Linked DNA regions of Tamandua tetradactyla. The protein of the gene in region 2 purifies or fractionates together with the protein of the main gene of each other region. This does not show direct contact. Links are inferred from orthologs where the notes say so. Each region holds a gene or a part of one and is shown on either strand. Other genes may lie near its edges.

Region 1 (3,749 bases), on a different chromosome or scaffold from region 2:
CAGTCTCTATGGACTTGCCTATTCTGTTCACTTCATATAAATGGAATTACACATGTGGCCTTTTGTGACTAACTTCTTTCCCTTAACACAGTGTTGAAACTGGTTTCTGCCATTTAATTTCTGCAAAACCTTAGGCAAGTTACTTAATACCAGTCCTCAGAGGTCATTATTATAATCAAATAACATATTCAATAGATAATTATTGACCTTAGTTGAGCGAGACATACACCAATCTACTTGCTTGATCTTTTGCACTCATTTTTCAACAAATACTTATCAAAGGCATTATTGTAGGCACTGAGTCTACACCAGTGAACAAAAGATATCCAAATCTTCCTGTTCTCATGGAGCTTACATTCTACTCACAGGAAACAGGCAATAAACAAAATAAATATGTGAAATATATACTGTTTTTACTAGACGGTAATGACTTCTAGGTAGAAAAATAAAACAGACCTTTTAGGAAGGGTTTGTATAAGGTGATCAAGGAAGGTGTCCCTGAGGTGACATTTAATTAAAGACCTTAAAGCAGTCTTGCTGACAAGATTTTAGTTCTTTAAACTAGGAAAGAAATATGAAAATTAGCCTCCTTTTAAATGCCCTCTGAGATTATCAGGTTTTAGGAAAGTTTCCTTATATCTAATCTGTACTTTTACTATGAAGCTTAAACCTGTCAATTGTTTTCTCATCATAGGGTATTTCTCAGTGGCACTAGCATCATTGCAATAGCAGTGTAATGTAGCAGTTAGTGTAAAGTAGTAGAGCTTGACTGCCAGAGTTCACACTCTAGTTCTTCATTGCCAAGTTGCAGTAATCTTGGACAAGTAACTCAGTCTCTCTATGTCTCAGCTGCCCAATCTGCAAAATTCAGATAATAATATTGCCTACCTTGAAGTTTGTTACGAGAAATGAGTTATTTCACATAAAAATGCTTAGATAATGTGCTGGTTGAAAGGATATATGTTCCCTAGAAAAGCCATGTTTAATCAAAATCCCATTTCATAAAGTTAGAATAATCCCTGTTCAATACTGTATGTTTGAAGCTGTAATCAGAACATCTCCCTGGAGATGTGATTTAATCAAGAGTAGTTGTTAAGCTGAATTAGGTGATGACATGTCTCCACCCATTGGGTGGTCTTGATTGGTTTCTGAAGTCCTATAAAAGAGGAAACATTTTGAAGAATGAGAGCGATTCAGAGAGAGCAGAGAAGAACGACATAGCCCTGAGAATCAGAGTCTACCAGCCAGCAACTTTTGGAGATGAAGAAGGAAAATGTCTCCCAGGGAGCTTCATGAAACAGGAAGCAAGGAGAAAAAGCTAGCAGATGATGCTGTGTTTGCTATATGCCCTTCCAGATGATAAATGTACCCAGACCATGTTTGCCATGTGCCCTTCCACTTGAGAAAGAAACCATGACTTTCATCAGCCTTCTTGAATCTAGATATCTTTCCCTGGATGCCTTAGATTGGACATTTCTATGGACTTGTTTTAATTGGGACATTTTCTCAGCGTTAGAACTGTAAACTCTTAACTTATTAAATCCCCCTTTTTAAAAGCCATTCTGTTTCTGGTATATTGCATTCCGGAAGCTAGCAAACTAGAACAAGTCCATAGTTTTCAACTTTATTGAAACTAAGTTTTCAATAAATATTAGCTGTCCATATATGTACACATAAATATACATATTAGGGATGTATTATCTATTGCTGCGTAAAAACTTACCCCCGAATTTAGCAGCCTAAAATAACAAAAAAATTGTCTCAGTTTCTGGTCCAGGAATTTGAGAATAGCTTAGCTGAAGAGTCAAAATGTCATCTGGGATACAACCTACAACCTAAATAGATAGATGGATGGATGGATAGATATATAGATAGGTAAAGACAGAATGACATGACAAATGTGGAAAAATGTTAGAAGTTGGTAGATCTGGGTGTCTGGATGAGGGTATGTTGGAGTTCTCTGTATGGGTTTTGTATAATTTTTGCAACTGTCCTGTAAATTTGAATTTATTTCAAAGTAAAACAAAAAAAATTTTTAAGTTATTATGCAAAACATGGAAAGTCTGAAAAATTATCACGTCCAACAGGAGCCTAAGGAGACATGACAACTAAATGTAATGTGATCTCCTGAATGTCCTGGGATAGAAAAAAAGACATTAGATCAAAACCGATGAAAAGAGAATAAAGATTAGTAATGTATCCATATTGGTTCATTAATTGTGACAAAGGTATTATACCAGGGTCATATATTAATATTCGGGGAAACTGGGTGTGAGGGACTATCTTTGTGACTTCTTTGTAAATATGAAACTACTCTGAAATTAAAAACTCATTTTAAATATTTAAAAAAAAAAAAAAGGGTATCAGCTCAAGCTACTATCACCTGAAGCCTTAACTGAGGCTGGAAGCCCTGCTACAAAGACAGCTCACTCACATGTGTATAGGCAGGAAGCCTCAGTTCCTCACCACCAGGACTTCTCCATGGGACTGCCGGAGTGTTCTCATGGCATGGCAGATGGCTTCCCCCAGAGTGAGTCACCCAAGAGAGAACAAACAGAAGTTGTATGATCTTTTATGACCTACGCGTGAAGTCACATTCCATCATTTCTGCCACATTCTATTCCTTAGAAATAAGTAACTAAGTACAGTGTGTGCTCAAAGGAGGAGAATTAAGCTCCACCTCTCGACTGGAGGATTATCAAAGGATGTGTGAACATATTTTCAAATCACCACAAGGGGTCATTCTTTGTTTCTTTTAAGTGCCTCTGCTTTACAAGTTATAGTGAGAATCCTTGGGAAAACCGCTCCTTCTACCATTTGTTTAAACCATAGAAATGAAAGGTAATTTCCGTTTAACATTCATACTTAAGAAAAGGGAATGTGGACTAGATATCCTAGCTTGAGAAAATCATCAACTGTAATAAATCTGTTATAAATAAAATGCCTCCTGTATTTAAGAGTCTTATATAAGCCAGCTGAAAAATGACTCCTGAAGATTTCCCAAGGGCTGGATTAGGATGGATTTAGAATATTGACAAATATGTCAACATGTATCTAAATAGATCAGATGGCCCGGACATAATAAACTATGCTGAATTGTCCCACCTAGGGTGACATTCCTTCCAAACATTTAGACATGGATGTAGCCATGATAGAGTCTCAGTTCTCAAATACTTGAACTCTCTGAGTGTAACAATTTGGCTTCTTATTTTACTGTGGCTGTGGAAAAAATCCAGTATAAAATATAGAAATAAGCTGAATATGTTTTTGTTCACAGTTAAACAAACGAACAAAAACATGGAACATGTTAGAAACTTAGGTTTGTATCTCTATTGTGCAACAGCTCTGAGATGAAATCCTTGGCAGAACAAAACAGAGAGAAGTGATTCTTCCACCTCCCTTATTAGCAAATAAAGTAGCTTCCCAGTTAAGTTATCCCCAGTTCTCTTCACATTTTGTTTGGTTCCTTAAAAACCTGGGGCAGTATAACACCCAGCCCCTACCTTTTCACCACCCAGACTTGAGAAATCAAAGGGAGAAAAATAGGCCTTCCTCAGTACAATAAGTCAGGTCCATCCAGCTCACTAATGTGCCCCACCGAATCTGGCACCCCAGAGTTGCTCAGCTGGTGTTGCTGAATAAATCGTCTTTATATCACTTAGCACCCAGTCTCAGAGACTGAAAAAAGAACCTTTATTAGCTTCAAGTCCTTCAGCAAAACTTAAGTCAATGTTTCCAGGCATCAAAAT
Region 2 (3,749 bases):
GGGGTATAACATCTAAGTCTGAGGGACTCGGGGGCAGGGGAGGAAGTGGCATGATAGGGTCCTTGAGTGCAAGGGCACTTTGAGGGACAGGGGACTCTAGGGGAGAAGAGCATGGAGAAGTCATTTTGGGTTCTATGGGAGTATCTGGGGGTAGCAAACGGAAGAGGAAAGGATACTTCAAAATGAGTTAGTCTCAGAAACGTTGATTTTGAAGGTTTAAGAGTCCACTTCCACAATTTGGGGGCTAAGCACTGGGACTGAAAGAACTGGGGCTAAAATCTGGAACCATGGGAAGCAGGGATGGCAGTTGACTCAAGTCCCGAGGTATCTGGGAGCTGACCTGTCTGTGTCTGGATTAGCTGAATCCCGAATCTCAGATTTTGTGGAGTGGGGCAGGGCTCAAGAGCAGATTAGGAGATTAATTTTTTCTCCAGCGTAGTATTTAGAAACCTCATGCGTCAATTTAGGGACACAGGCTGTCAAACGTATGGTGATGCCTAAAGGTGGGATTGAGGGGCTCAGGGCTAAAAACCGGGGGAGTTTAGGCTCTACTTGCATCCGAGACCCCAGCTCAAAACCTTCCAGCGGTCGTTCGAGCCAGGGGTCAAGAGGTCAAAAAGGACACCTGGCAAGGAAAATGGCTTAGTTTTAGAGAAGGCCCAGTAAACAAAAAAGCAACAGGAAATGCCTACAGGAGATGGGGAAGGTTCACAGGTCGGAAGCCAGCGGGGGCCAAAAGACCGGAGTAGGGAAGGGAGACCCGCAGTATCACGCGCGTGCCCCGACCCCTACCCCCGCAAAATGGCGGCGGCTGCACACTACCTTTCTCACATCACGTGAGGACCGCAGCCTCATAACCGCCCCTTCCATGATCACGTGGCAGAAAACACGCGGAGGCTTGGAGAAGGCCCGGAGATGAGGCTTCCTAATGATCGCCGCCGGAAGAGACTGAAATGCGAGCTGCGTCCCGATTGGCAAGAAGAGCGTGAGGGGGCGCGGCCTTCATTGATTGGTCCACAGGCCCAGGGGCTGCAAGACGTGGGCGGAATTTCAAGGAGTTGGGTGGGTTTTTTGTGTCGAGGCGGGAACCCGTGTGTCGTTTTGATTGGCAGGGTGAGGTAGACTGGCTCTGATTGGCCAGGCTACTGAGGTTCTGCCTGGGGATTGGCTTCTAGAAAGGCAAAGGCGGGGCCAGGAGAGGAAGCTTTGTGGTTGGGTCTCAGAAATGCAGTAGTTATCCCTTGCGCGAGCTGTCGAATGGTTGGTGAGTAATCTCGAGCGAAAAGCTGCCATAGACTCTGGGCGGGCGGAACTCTTAGTGCTTGGGACTTCCCGCGCCCCTTCTGGGGAAGTCTTCCTGCTGCGCGAGGCCAGGACGCCCCCAAATTTTATCCTCCCAACCTTAATTGTTCTTAACATCCGGGTCTCTCGTACCGGCCGCCCTTTTGGGCTCGTGGGCCAATAGGAATCACTACTTAGGGCGCCCCGCCTACCGGGCCGCGTAAAGCGTCCTGGGACTCGTAGTGAGAGTCTCGAGAGTTCTCTCACCACGCGGGTAGGCGATCCCGAGTCCTGACTAAGCTTTGTTGCCCGAGCTGTACCTCCCGGCTTTCCTGAATTCCTTCTGCTTGGAAGATCCCCGAGCAGCCTATTAGGCCAGCACTGGGATCAAGGATTTGCAGACATCTGCGGCTGAAATCTCCTTTCTCGTTCTTTCAGTCCTACCTCGGAACCTCACACCATGGCGGTTCCCGAGACCCGCCCCAACCACACTATTTACATCAACAACCTCAACGAGAAAATCAAAAAGGATGGTAAGTTCTCGGGATGGTCCAAACTCCAGACTATCCTTCACAAGCTGGTCCCACCCCTCCCCGGCAGCCGCTTCTCTTCCTCAGGCTTCTGCTCCTGCCAAACGGCTGCAGTGAAAGTCCTTCGGCCTTTGCACATGCTGCCCTCTGTCTTTTAACACTCCCATACGTCGTCTTAGGCGCTTCTTGTTCACCTGATCTCTGTTGCTCTTCGTTTGGGTTTCAGGTAACGGGACTCCCTCCTCCAGAAAGCCTTTCCTGGTCTTCTACTCTCTGTGATGCCTGCCTCTGACTTCCCCTAGTCTCCGTACATCCACCATCAGGCCCTGATCATTCTGGGCTGTCACTGTCTGGAGACGGGTCTGTCTCCTCATTGGTCTGTGAGCTCCATGAAGCAGGGACCTCGACTGGCTTTTTCCCTGTTACCTTCTCACTGAAAACGTACAGTAGTGTCTCTGTACGAGGTGCTGATCTGTGTACTTTTATGAAGTCAGTCTTGGATATATTCAGTTTTCACAATCCTGCCAGGAAGAAGCAATTATATTCCTATTTTTCAGATTAGGACACTGACTTAGTAATGAGTGACTCTCCTTAGGTTATACAGCAAGAAAAGTGGTAGAGGTCACAAGTATGGAGTTCTGCTTAAGAATTCACTTTTTGAAGTGAGACAGACTTCCACCTTCTTGAGCATTCTCTATATCGGGAAATTGAGCAAATTTCTAATACCTTCTTTGCAGGGATATTCTGAGGATTAAGTTAGTTAAACCTTCATGCAGCGCTTTTTTTTTAAGGTACCCAGCTGGATAAATGTTAGTAGCTCTTACAACTTCAAGAAAATGGCCAGTAAAATCAAAGGAGCTTGTTGGGATTAAGTTTGAGATTACCAATAAAGTTGCTGTTTTAGAAAACAAAATAAGGAATGTAAATTCTGCAAGTGCTTTTAGAGCATTGTGCCGGGCAGTTCTGGGGACACATTGGTGACTGAGATAACCCTGGCCCTGTCTCGTGGATTCCAGTTCAGTGGGAGAGAGTCCGGTTCTCCGACAGTGTCAGGGCAGAGGGGTTGGGGCTCGAATTCATTCCTTCATAGGAGAAGATATTTTTTGGAAAAGCCTTCAGGTAGCAGAAGCGTTGTTTTTGTATGATGAGAGAGAAGGGCGTTTCTGACTTAAATCAGTAGTGCAAATCTCTAAGGGCCAAAGAAAGCCTGGAGCATTGTATGAACCACCGATAGTTTTGTGTGCCTGGGGCTAGAGGGCCGTGCACTGACTCATGGGCCCTTCATCTAGGGCTTGGACTTTGTCCTGACGGTATTGAGAAGCTAGGCTAGGGGCGTTGCCAGTTGTTGGTTGGTAAAAATCCTCTCAGCTGTGGAGGTTGAACTGAGAGGGTGAAAAGGGAGGCTGTAGGCTGTGGAGAGGTTCAGAGCCCAAATGACTGAGCCCTGATCTAGCCCTCCCACGTTTTCTTCTCTTCCCTCATCTTTTTTTTCCCTAGTTTGCATAAGATATTGCTATTGTTTTCAGACCTGGTTGGGAAGACAGGTCTTTCCTTGGTTTAGCTTAAATCTTGCTTGCTGTCTGTTAGTGAGGCAGTTTGCTTGTTCAGTTTGGATGGACTTAGGTTCTGCTCTTGGTTATGTCATGTCTTTGAGCAGTGTCCGCCTCTCAGAGCCTGTTGCCACTTTAAAATTGAGAGGGTTGCAGTTGCTAACTCATGGGATCGTTATGAGAATTTAGTCAAGTTATTTCCATAAGGCACCTAAGGATGTCTTGATTCATGCAAACGTTTGTGGAGAGGTTGTGTGGTAGATTCTACACTAGGTCTGATGCTATTGCAGTAAACAAATCAGACAGGCTTATCCCTCCTTGGAGGGAGAGATGGGTAACAAGTAAATAGTAGATGTCAGATTTTGGAAAATGTGTGGAAAAAAAAAGA
Region 3 (3,749 bases), on a different chromosome or scaffold from region 2:
TACCTAGTAACGACGCCCCCGGTTGCATAGCAACGAGGATCCGGGTCCCTAGTTTGTTTCCCCCGCCGCACGACGTCGGACCCCTCCCCACTCCGGCTCGCCAGGCCTTGAGGTTCCGGTCTCGTCCTCCCCACAGCGGCTGCCGCTTCCCGGCCCTGTATGTCTCTCCTCCGGCCCCGGTCTCGGCTCATACTTACGGAACTTCGGCAACCGTTGCTCTTCACGTGCGACTTGGCTAAAACGCGCCACCAAACCCGCGCCTCAACGCCTGGGCGTTCGTTTACCGTCTGCGCATGCGCCAGCTCCTGAAGCCGAGCCGGGTCGGCCTTCGCCGCCTCAGGAGCTTAGTGCCATGAGCGCATGCGCTCTACCGTCTCGATTACTTTTTTTTTTTTTTCCCCCAAGTTTTAGTACGGAGAGAAGAATGGGATCGGAAGTTCAAGCTGGGAACGGAAGTCTCTGACAGGAAAGGGGGAAAAAGGTGACTATATCTGGGCTGTTCAGTAGGTAAACTGGATCTTTGGAATCGAGGTCGAAGCCAATTTGCCGCTTCAACCCCCTCGGAATTTGGGGAAATGTAGTTCTTGGGCTACATAATGCCGCCTCGGGCATTGTGGGAAATGTAGTTCTTAACACAGGCGCCGAGAGCCTCGGGTCTCGGGAGAAACTTTGCGCTCAAAAGGGGTCATGGTGTGAGAATTGGAGGCGCAGCGACAGTGGGGAAAGGCATCTGCCCCATCACAGGGCACGTCCACACCTGAACCCTGCCGGGTGTTCGCTCAGAATTTTAGAGCAGTAGGAAAACCAGCGCTCAGACTCCTTCAGCGGTGTAAACGGGAAGGATTTGGGGTGCGGCGACCTGCTCGGTGATCCTGGACGCGTCGCTTGATTTCTCTGAGCCTCAGATCCTTCAGCTTTACTCTGAAGCAGCTTTCAGTGCTGTAAGGTTCCCAAGATACCGCCTCACTGTCGGTTTGAAGATTGATTCAAGGAAGTGAAGAGAGCGAATATTACTTTGAAGACATCCACATTGCTTCCCAAAGGCTTCATCGCCGTTACTGACAACCGTAGGGATGGCTCCTTTCTGCTGTTAAAACCAGGTCCTCAAGAACGTCCTAAAAATCGGAGCCCTTTTTGCCCCTCCCCTGAACCTGCCTCCCCATTCTGCCTTCTTTCCAGGTTACATGCAGGAGTGGCTCCCAGTCTGTCCTCTAATCTAGTTGTTTCTTTCTCAGACTCACCTATCTGCATTTGGGCCCTCATCATTTACTGTTTCAGCTAAGAATCTTCTGGAGCAGGCTCCGGTGGCATCGTAGACCTCACCTTTAAGTTTTGTAACAGTCGCTGTTTTACGTTTGCTGGTGAGATTGTTTCTGATTTGTAGGGCTATGGATCTCAGATCGCAGACGTCCCTGTGCAAGCATTCTTATTTTTTTCCTATGATGTTATCTCTTTTCAAATCTCTTCTTTTCCCTTGGAGTGGTAGAAACAATCTCAGACAGGGTTCTGGGTTCTTCTGACTCCTGACTTTCAGGTTGTACGCAGTCTTGGGAAAGTTAACGTATGGCCAGCCGGGAGAAGGGAAAGCTTATCTAAACTTCAATCTCAGTTGTTTGAATTGGCAACTCCTGAGACTCCCAAATCTTCTGTCATTTATCCAGGCAGGTTGCCACTGAATCTACCTGGGAAATGGAGCTTGGGCTGCCTCTGGGTTATTGGCAGACATGCCTCTATGTTTCTCAAGCAACAGCAGCTTTGGCCTGAGGGAGCAAGGGAAAGGGCTCCTTTTTCAGAGACTCACCAACAGCTGTGCAGCTATCTCTTCCCCTCTATTTCCAGCCTAGGGAACTTGTGTCTCTGCTGGTTTGAAAGGATGTATGTACCCTAGAAAAGCCATGTTTTAATCCTAATCCTATTTTGTAAAGGCAGCTGTTTCTTCTAATCCCTATTCAGCATTGTATGTTTGAAACTGTAATTATATCATCTCCCTGGAGATGAGATTTAATCAAGAGTGGTGTTAAACTGGATTAGCTGGAGGCGTATCTCCATCCATTTGGGTGGGTCTTGATTAGTTCTTTTATAGGAATAAAAGAGGAAACATTTTGGAGAATGAGAGCAATTCAGAGAGCAGAGCAGAATGACGTAGCCACGAGAAGCAGAGTCCACCAGCCAGCGACCTTTGGAAATGAAGAAGGGAAACGCCTCCTGGGGAGCTTCATGAAGGGAAGCCAGGAGAGAAAGCTAGCAGATGACGCCGTGTTCCCCACATGCCTTTCCAGATGAGAGAGAAATCCTGTTCGCCATGTGCCTTCTCACTTGAGAGAGAAACCCTGAACTTCATCGGCTTTCTTGAACCAAAGTATCTTTCCCTGGATGGACATTTCTACAGACTTGTTTTAATTGGGACATTTTCTCGGCCTTAGAACTGTAAACTAGCAACTTATTAAATCCCCCTTTTTGAAAGCCATTCCATTTCTGGTATATTGCATTCCAGCAGCTGGCAAACTAGAACAGTTTCCTTTATGGGGATGTTGAGGTGGGGCAGATTAAGGAGAGTGGGTGGAGGTCAAACTCTTACAAGTTCTATTTACTCCAAAATCAACTGTTTAATATCTCGATCCTCTCTAGTCCTTTAGAGGCTGACTTTTGAAATGCAAAATCCTTTAAGGGACTCCCTTTTCGCTATGTTCTGAAGTCACAACCATAAGCCCCCCCCAATGGAGGGTCATTTCTGATTTTGCTCCTAGTGCAGTGCCTGTCTGGTACATAGTGGGTACAGTCTAGTAAGTGAATGGCTGATGGTCTCCCTCCAGTCTGCCCCGCTCCAACCTTCCAGTAAGCGTCTTCCAGAGGAAACTTCTAGAAATGTGGTTATCTTTAGGTCACTCCGTAGCTCAAATGCAATCAAATGCTGTTCTGCTCCCAACCCAGTCAAGTCTAACCACTTACTGTACAAGGCCCCGACTAAATCCACCCAGTCTATATCCTGCCACATCCAAGTATTTGAGGTGCCTGACGTGTCAGGCAGCCTGTTATTCAACAAAATTTATGAAGTTCCTACTGTTTGTCAGACACTGTGTTAGAATCTTGGAACAACAGTGACCAGGACAACTGTGATTCCTGTCATCACAGAGTTTACAGTCTAGCAGAGAAATCAGACATCAAACAGATAGTTATAAAAAATTAAGTGATTGTAGCTATCCAGTGGGGCTTCAAGGAGAATCACAGGGTGCTATGGGGTCTAACTTCAGATAGAAATCAAGAAAAGCCTTCCCCACGAAGTGACATTTAAAGTGAGATGAAATTACATTGGAGGGTGTATTCGTTTGTTGAATGCTGCTGGAATGCAATGTACCAGAAATGGGTTGGCTCTTACAAAGGGAATTAAATTACAAGTTTACAGTTCTAAAGCCATAGAAATGTCCAAACTAAGATATCCAGAGAAAGATACCTTGACTCAAGAAAGGCTGATGGTGTCCAAACACCTCTATCAGCTGGAAAGACATGGGGGCTGGTGTCTGCTGGCCCTTTACTTCTGATTTCAAAACAGCTTCCCCAGGGAAATTTTCTTTCTGCACCGCCAAATGTCTGTGTCAGCGCTGAATCAACTCCAAAATGTTTCCCCTTTTAAAGGACTCCAGTAAACTAATCATGATCCACCTTGAATAAGCAGAGTCACATCTCCATCTCATCAAAAGGCCGCACTCACAGTTGGGTGTGTCGCATTTCCATGGAACAATCCATTCAAT

The links. Proteins that work in one complex are often made in the same cells at the same time.
Region 1: the proteins of SNRPA (region 2) and SRPK2 purify together in Homo sapiens (affinity purification with mass spectrometry; 4 studies listed by BioGRID and IntAct, with this or other methods). This does not show direct contact. The link is inferred for Tamandua tetradactyla from reciprocal best matches to the Homo sapiens genes SNRPA and SRPK2.
Region 3: the proteins of SNRPA (region 2) and PRPF19 fractionate together in Homo sapiens (co-fractionation; 3 studies listed by BioGRID and IntAct, with this or other methods). This does not show direct contact. The link is inferred for Tamandua tetradactyla from reciprocal best matches to the Homo sapiens genes SNRPA and PRPF19.

The regions. Positions count from the first base shown.
Region 1 is NC_135327.1:143,769,145-143,772,893, forward strand, and holds the start of SRPK2 (SRSF protein kinase 2), read right to left. Parts: upstream 2,494-3,749; 5' UTR 2,435-2,493; intron 1-2,434. UniProt on the Homo sapiens protein: Serine/arginine-rich protein-specific kinase which specifically phosphorylates its substrates at serine residues located in regions rich in arginine/serine dipeptides, known as RS domains and is involved in the phosphorylation of SR splicing factors and the regulation of splicing.
Region 2 is NC_135342.1:23,372,519-23,376,267, reverse strand, and holds the start of SNRPA (U1 small nuclear ribonucleoprotein A), read left to right. Parts: upstream 1-1,131; 5' UTR 1,132-1,264; intron 1,265-1,292; exon of another isoform or gene 1,293-1,555; intron 1,556-1,719; 5' UTR 1,720-1,741; coding exon 1,742-1,814; intron 1,815-3,749. Other genes in the region: ACTMAP (actin maturation protease), read right to left, coding at 1-124. UniProt on the Homo sapiens protein: Component of the spliceosomal U1 snRNP, which is essential for recognition of the pre-mRNA 5' splice-site and the subsequent assembly of the spliceosome. U1 snRNP is the first snRNP to interact with pre-mRNA.
Region 3 is NC_135335.1:14,207,482-14,211,230, forward strand, and holds the start of PRPF19 (pre-mRNA-processing factor 19), read left to right. Parts: upstream 1-1,140; 5' UTR 1,141-3,749. Other genes in the region: voltage-gated monoatomic cation channel TMEM109, read right to left, coding at 4-28. UniProt on the Homo sapiens protein: Ubiquitin-protein ligase which is a core component of several complexes mainly involved pre-mRNA splicing and DNA repair. Required for pre-mRNA splicing as component of the spliceosome.